Linked DNA regions of Arabidopsis thaliana. The protein of the gene in region 1 purifies or fractionates together with the protein of each later gene. This does not show direct contact. Each region holds a gene or a part of one and is shown in the gene's direction. Other genes may lie near its edges.

Region 1 (3,754 bases):
TTACTATGAGGACAAGCAAGTGGGTTCAGATCTAATTGTGCCACCTTTCGGGGCAGTGACTCAAGCTTCTTTGAGGGATGTGGTGAAGACTGAGCTTGCCTATCTGACTTTTGAAGCTACACCAGACTCGACTTTGGACCCACTCATCAACGCTCTCGAGCTCTATGTCATTAGTAATAGTGGTGGAAGTGGAAACGGGACGAATTCAACAAGCACGAGCGGTGGTGGCAGCCCTAGTCCTGGTGGTGGTAGTGGCAGCCCCCCTAGCACTGGCGGTGGTAGTGGCAGCCCCCCTAGCACAGGCGGTGGTGGTGGCAGCCCAAGCAAGGGCGGTGGTGGAGGCAAATCCGGTAATTATTCTTTTCATTATCTTATATATATGTTGTAAAATACGGTTAATTTTAATAATTTTGGTTTGAGATAAATAATGAATAGAAGAGGCTACTAATTCTGACAATAATAAGAAAACGGTTTGTTTTGTAGAAAAGATATCAATCTATATATTAATATATAAATCTATATATATAAGTAACTCTACTCTAGTGGTTCTTTAAAATATATGGATACTGAATTGAAAGGGAGGAACTCGTGTGGGTATATTAATTAGGATGCAAGATTTAGCTTCTAGTTATTGACGATCAACTGCCTTTTATCAACATGCAAGATCATAACTAGGCTTAAAGGTTAGAAGAATGGGAAGTGTTTAACCAAAAACTTTCATTGTAAAACATAGCCGACTAGGAGGCGGTTTAGTCCGACTTTGAGCCGTCATTTTTCTAGATAGATTGGTCAAAAACATGCTCTCCAAATTACTAGCTCCGTAAGAAAATTGACTTAAACTGAAAACTAAAATTATAAGTCACTTTTCTTCGTTTGAACGATATTTTAGGAGGAAGCAATAATGGAGATGGAGGAACCAACAAAGCTAGTGAAGATGAAAAATCTGCAGGCATATCAGTTCTCAATATTTTTTTTAATTAAGATGTTTTTTTCCATATTAGGACTTTTAGAAGAATAGTCACTTAATATAGTTTGGGACAATTTCTAGAGATTATTTTCAAAGTTTTTGTCGTATAACAATATCATTTATATATAAAAAAAAAACATTTATGAAGCTTTGGATGTTAATAATCATGTTATTATTGTTATCAAATGATATGAGATCGTTGGTTCGAGTCTAATATGTGGTACGTTTGTGTTTGTGTATGAAGATTCTTCAGGTAAATCAGGAGAGGAGAAAAGCAGCAGCAACTTAGCTTTACCTCTTGGAATTTCATTACCGACTTTGTTAAGTCTTGGAGCTGGTGGTTGGGGCGTCTGGAAATATTTCATCAAACCTAGGCGCCACCCGGAATCAGAATGTTCGTATTCTCCTTTTATTTTTATTTTTATAAACTTATTGCAATAAATCTTATTAATTTGAATTTCTACTATAATTTTTATTTGAATTAACTAATGTATATAAATATTTATTTATGGTTGCAGTGCCACTCAAACAGAATATAAGTTTACAAGTGAATATGGGAAACGCAACAGTAGTGAATGCTGGGCAATGACGACGACTTACATCTACTACATGCGGATCCATCATCACTCATCACCCTCCAATATATGTTATTCTTTTTTTCTCCTGATTTATTGGTTGTTAGATGTAATTTATACTATTTCAGTCTTTTCATCGTATGTTTCACATATTTTTATACTTAAACAAAAATCACTAACAATCATGAAATGTTTATCTCTATGGTTTTCTCCACCAAAGTTCGGGTATAGATATTAGTGTTACTTTTCGTTGTAGAATTTAATTGGTTATAGTTGTTAACGAGTGATTTATAGGTTGTGAATGGTGACTAAAACCGTATCCAAAACCGTATCGTAACAGTGTTGTAACAATATCAAAATTTTTACATATATATATGTATTTATGTATTTTTGTTATTATTTGAACCGCACTGCACTTTTCCCGCATCGCAAAACACAGTCACCATTCGGAGCCATAGTTTATGTTGTTATATTTACCCTAGAAAAAGTCAATAAAAAAGGTGAGATATATAGTTTGTGTTGTTAGTTTTAAAAAATCAGAAAAACAAAATTTGGTTTGCTCCACTTCTCAGTTCGGTCGGTCTCGCACACTGAGACGCAAAGCAAGAACACAACAACACAACAATACTGCCAACAAAATCCAAATCTTCCCCATTTTGTCTTCTCAACCAAAACCCTAAAACTCTCCTTCCTTCTTCTCCCTAGAGATGTCTTCAACAATATCCCTAAAGCCGACGCACCTTATCCTCTCCTCTTTCTCCACAGGCAAAGTCCTCCAATTCCGCCGCTCCCGTTTCAGCCACACACCGTCGTCGTCGTCGTCTCGTTATCGGACTCTCGTAGCTCAACTCGGGTTCAGACCAGATTCTTTTGATTTCATCAAGGACCATGCCGAGAATCTGCTGTACACGATCGCTGATGCCGCCGTTTCGTCCTCTGAAACCTTTGAATCTGTCGCCGGCACTACTACCAAAACGACCCAGAGCAATGATTGGTTCTCTGGTATTGCTAATTACATGGAAACTATTCTCAAGGTATTAAAAGTTTTGTCTTTTTTGGTTTAGAAAGAAATGAATTTTTGTGTAGCTATATGATTGATTTTGAATTGGATTGCAGGTTTTGAAAGATGGGTTATCAACTGTACATGTTCCTTATTCCTATGGTTTCGCTATCATTCTATTGACTGTGCTTGTTAAGGCTGCTACGTTCCCATTGACGAAAAAACAGGTTTTTAGTTTGTTTCTATTGCTGCTAAGCCATGATATCATTTTTAGTCCATGTTATTGAATTGGTGGTTTATTCTCTACAGGTTGAATCTGCCATGGCTATGAAATCTTTGACGCCTCAAATAAAGGCTATTCAGGAACGGTATGCTGGTGATCAGGTGAAAAACAATTCTTCTATACTGTACACATGGGTTTTATTTGTCCTGATGCTATACTAAGTTATGTTTGCATCAATTCTTAGTTGATGGAGTTAAGGAAAAAGTAAGAACATGTGTGTTGCTATTGGTTCCACAATTGTGGAGGGATACTAATGAATATAACAAATATTATAGCTTTACTATGTATGAATATAGCCCTCTTGTTTAAACAAATAGCTTCTTTATTTTTGTTTATCTTTGCAGGAGAAAATTCAGCTTGAAACTGCTAGATTGTATAAGCTTGCTGGAATAAATCCCCTTGCAGGTACAGTATGTTACTTCAGCTTATCGTATGTTTTTCCATTTGAGACAACATTTATGGTTAAGCTATATTTTCATTTATCTGTTAGGCTGCCTCCCCACACTAGCCACGATACCTGTCTGGATTGGGCTATATAGAGCCCTCTCAAATGTTGCAGATGAGGTACCTGGAAATAACTATATCCTTTTGTATCTGTAAGTGCCTTGAGATTCTTTTTTGACAAGTAGTTGGATGCTTGTTTCTAACTTTAGGGGCTCTTAACGGAAGGTTTTTTCTGGATACCTTCTCTTGCTGGTCCAACGACTGTTGCTGCAAGACAGAATGGCAGTGGAATCTCATGGCTGTTCCCTTTCATTGTAAGTATCATTTGAAACTTGATATTTCGAAAATGGAATCTAGACTAGACTCATAGTTCTTACGAACTCTTATTCAGTTTAATTGTTCAAGCATATAAAACTGATTAAAATGAATTATTGAAGAAAACTTGAGGGGAGTGGTGTCGGACCTCATCGCTGATGTCTACAAAT
Region 2 (3,754 bases), 3.4 Mb from region 1:
CAGTTACGCTTGATTAGTAGTTCGGTTTCTTTCTGAGATTGCGGATGTGAATTGATGCAAAACATTACCTCTTTTTGATGATTTTCATAATGGATAGGGATGCATTTTAGGATTTGAGTGTGCAATGAGATTACAAGAGTTGGTTCTTGTGAAAATCAGCTTAGTTTTCTTATGGTTAATTGGGTTTGTCTTCCTGCAACGTAGTGAAGAGAATGGATTTGAAGAACCAAACAATGGGGAAGAACTTTCCTGGGATGATCTGGAGAGAGAAGCTGCTAGTAATATATCATCTAAAAGATCTCATGCTGAGAGATCTCACCAACACGAATCTTTTACAAAAGGTATCTGCAAAAAGATTATTTCTTAAAGTAATGTTTTCGAGTTATTGTAGATGGTGAAACTTTTGCTTAATCTATGGCAATGTTATCTGTTTTGTCATCTTGATGATGTGAGTGATGTTACAAAGCATAATATCTGTGATTGATCAGGTGACGAACTTTCTGGAGACTTGTACGAACTGTGGAGGCAAGAACAGAACAGCATTGCGGCAAGGCTAGACAAAGAGCTAAAATCCAGGTGGGAACTCGATGAACTGATTGAAGAACAGCTGAGCAGATACCAGTCCCATTACGACAATTCCATGGTTTCAACTTTCTTAAAGGATGTCTCTAACCTCGTCTTACCCACGTGGATACCACCTCATGAGCTAGCTGCTGTGGCCTGGCTTGGAGACTGGCGTCCCACCTCCATTCTTGACCTTGTCCGCATTCTGGCAGCTCAAAACCCCTCCTTCTCTCTGTCTGAGTCGAGTTTACGCGTGCTCTCTCAGCTTTTACGTGAGATACGCATCGAAGAGGCCGTTATTGATGAGGAATATGCAGAAATTCAGGCCACCGGTGTCTTGTACCTCCCTTTTTCCCCGCTCTGCAATACTCGGTTGCATGAAGAAGCTCTGCGTTCTGTGCAGGAGCTGTTTGGGAACATACATAAAGTCATCTCAAAGGCACAACGACTCAGGTTTGCTTTCCTCCCCATCATAAATAAAAGAGAATTGTTGAGAATGAACAGAAACAAATAGCTGACACCAGATAGTGTGTGTGGTTAATGATGTCTTAGTTTTGTTGAGTGAAGTGAAAGCTTTGATCAGCATTATGAGAGAAAGTTGTTATGATTGGCAGGTATAAAGTGTTGGAGCTGGTGATGAAGAAGCTGCTGAATCAAACGGATACAGCCGAGTTTGTGGTCGCATTTGCAGGGATTCAAGACGCCATACACCAGTTTGGAGAGCAGAAGAAGCTAAGAAAGATTTACCCAGCAGTTCCTTCACCTCTGAAGGGATCAGGATCATCTAGTTGAGAGCTTTGTAGAAGCAAAGCAAGTCCCAGTTTCATAGTAAAACTAAATGCTGTGATGTGGGATCTGCCTGCTTGGAACTAATGCCTCTTCATCAACCCATACATGTTTAGGATGTACATGTTTAGCTATCACCGTCCTCTGGATTCATTGCTATTGTACGTACGTTGTAAGTCATAACAAAGATATTGACAATGATAAAACCAATTCTTGTATACAAGTTTTTCAGGCTCTTCTTAACACTTAACATGCAAATTTGGGTCATCATCAGTTGTATATGAAAGAATATGTAGAGTTTCATATATTTCCAAAAACGTTAGAGAACTATTAACATGTGACCCATTGGGCCTGTTTTACACCTTTAGGTCCATTTAAGTTGACGTGCTCCAACTCGTAACCTCCGATTAATGCCACATGTTCTCTCCCGCCTGAATCATGTCAATCTCCCACAAAAGATCTTTGATAAAAAGAATTGAGCCCTAATTCCTTGATGTTTGTTGAATCGCACAGCAGATAAAAAAAAATGGTGTTGGCGGAGCTCGGCGGCCGGATAACCCGCGCCATACAGCAGATGAACAATGTGACAATAATCGATGAAAAGGTTTTGAATGATTTCTTAAACGAGATTACTCGCGCTTTGCTCCAGTCCGATGTTTCTTTTGGCCTTGTGGAAAAGATGCAGACCAATATTAAGAAGATCGTTAACCTCGACGATCTAGCAGCTGGCCACAACAAACGCCTGATCATCGAGCAGGTTTAGTTTTACCGCAGATTCATTCCTAATCAATTTCCAAAACAGAGGGGTTAATTCTGTATAATTGATCATGATTCTCTTTCAGGCTATCTTCAAGGAACTCTGTAGGATGCTGGATCCAGGAAAGCCTGCCTTTGCCCCCAAAAAGGCCAAACCTAGTGTAGTGATGTTCGTCGGTTTACAAGGTCAGGTTTCTGTAAGATGCTATACTGTTTTTTGCACAGTGTTTGATTGAGTTTGGTGAGTAGATAGATCACATTTGAGTTTTTGACTATGTTTAGGTGCTGGAAAAACCACAACATGTACCAAGTATGCTTACTATCATCAGAAGAAAGGGTACAAAGCAGCTCTAGTGTGTGCGGATACTTTCAGGGCCGGTGCTTTTGATCAGCTGAAACAGAATGCCACCAAGGCTAAGATCCCCTTTTATGGAAGGTACTCAAATCAACCCCTTTGCATGCTGTGAGATCTTATTCTTGTCTATCCACTTTGTATGAGGATTTATATCTTAGTATTCATCTTTCTTCTTGCTTTCTCGTAAGACCTTTGGTGTTTTTCATTTCCAATGGATATTAGCTTACATACAGCAGTATCTGTGTAAAAACTATGGTATTTTGTGGTTGGTAGAGGTCAATGTACAAAGTTTATGAAATTGTTTGGTTTAGACTCGACGTTTATTTTAGGTCAGTAGCCTGCAAAAATCTGCAATGAAAAGGAATATGGTTACCTACTATGTTTCTTTATCGATCATCCAGTAGGTTTCATCATACTTATCCAGTTCTCTGTGTGCCACTTACCCTTTAGAGTTTCTTTAAGCCCTTTTGCCTGTTTTTTTCTTGCGTTTTTTGTTTTGGACCTTGGAAAACTCTATCAAAGGGTCTCACTTGTTCGTCAAAGATCTCAACAGTTTGCATATATCGATTTTTTGAGGTCTTGTGTTATCTTCTGTTTCTATTTGCAATTACTGCGACTACGCTATTTGTAGTTTTGGATTTACTTCAATGACAGTAACAGAGGGAAATGAAAAAAAAAAGAAGATATACTGGATTAGAACTATCCTCTCGAGCGTAGTGTGATAGCATAATGTGCTAATGCTGACAGGAAAAATGCTAATTTGTGATTCGTTGCAGCTACACAGAATCCGATCCTGTGAAAATTGCTGTTGAGGGAGTTGATAGGTTCAAGAAAGAAAAGTGTGATCTTATTATTGTTGACACCAGTGGTCGCCATAAACAAGCAGCTTCTCTCTTTGAAGAAATGCGTCAAGTTGCTGAAGCAACGGTATGCTCTGTTGTCTTGAAGTCTGTTTTTTGTTCATGGTTGATGTTGCAGGCTCTGATCATGGTAATTTTCACTGTTCAGGAACCAGATCTTGTTATATTTGTTATGGATAGCAGTATTGGTCAAGCTGCATTTGAACAAGCTGAAGCTTTTAAGGAAACTGTATCTGTTGGAGCTGTAATTATTACTAAGATGGACGGCCATGCCAAGGGAGGTGGTGCTCTTAGCGCGTAAGTATCTTGTAGCTACTGAGTCTTCATGTGTACTCGAAATGGTTAATATGAAAATATTGCAGGCTTTGGTAGTTGAACAAGTGAACCTGAACCATTTTCATGTTGTTAGTGTTGCAGCTACAAAAAGTCCTGT

Evidence for each region. The genes of interacting proteins can lie anywhere in the genome.
Region 2: the proteins of ALB4 (region 1) and ATHSRP54A purify together in Arabidopsis thaliana (affinity purification with western blotting, with the first as the bait; one study listed by BioGRID). This does not show direct contact.

Annotation. Positions count from the first base shown.
Region 1 is NC_003070.9:8,680,115-8,683,868, forward strand, and holds the start of ALB4 (OxaA/YidC-like membrane insertion protein), read left to right. Parts: upstream 1-2,080; 5' UTR 2,081-2,249; coding exon 2,250-2,576; intron 2,577-2,658; coding exon 2,659-2,769; intron 2,770-2,851; coding exon 2,852-2,926; intron 2,927-3,169; coding exon 3,170-3,230; intron 3,231-3,315; coding exon 3,316-3,389; intron 3,390-3,478; coding exon 3,479-3,583; intron 3,584-3,754. Other genes in the region: AT1G24485 (ER protein carbohydrate-binding protein), read left to right, coding at 1-350, 890-949, 1,212-1,365, 1,486-1,780. UniProt on the Arabidopsis thaliana protein: Required for the insertion of some light harvesting chlorophyll-binding proteins (LHCP) into the chloroplast thylakoid membrane. Plays a role in the accumulation of some cytochrome b6f components in the thylakoid membrane.
Region 2 is NC_003070.9:5,270,070-5,273,823, reverse strand, and holds the start of ATHSRP54A (signal recognition particle 54 kDa subunit), read left to right. Parts: upstream 1-1,765; 5' UTR 1,766-1,876; coding exon 1,877-2,107; intron 2,108-2,192; coding exon 2,193-2,292; intron 2,293-2,388; coding exon 2,389-2,542; intron 2,543-3,237; coding exon 3,238-3,388; intron 3,389-3,469; coding exon 3,470-3,618; intron 3,619-3,730; coding exon 3,731-3,754. Other genes in the region: AT1G15320 (seed dormancy control protein), read left to right, coding at 125-341, 489-1,017, 1,179-1,356. UniProt on the Arabidopsis thaliana protein: Component of the signal recognition particle (SRP) complex, a ribonucleoprotein complex that mediates the cotranslational targeting of secretory and membrane proteins to the endoplasmic reticulum (ER).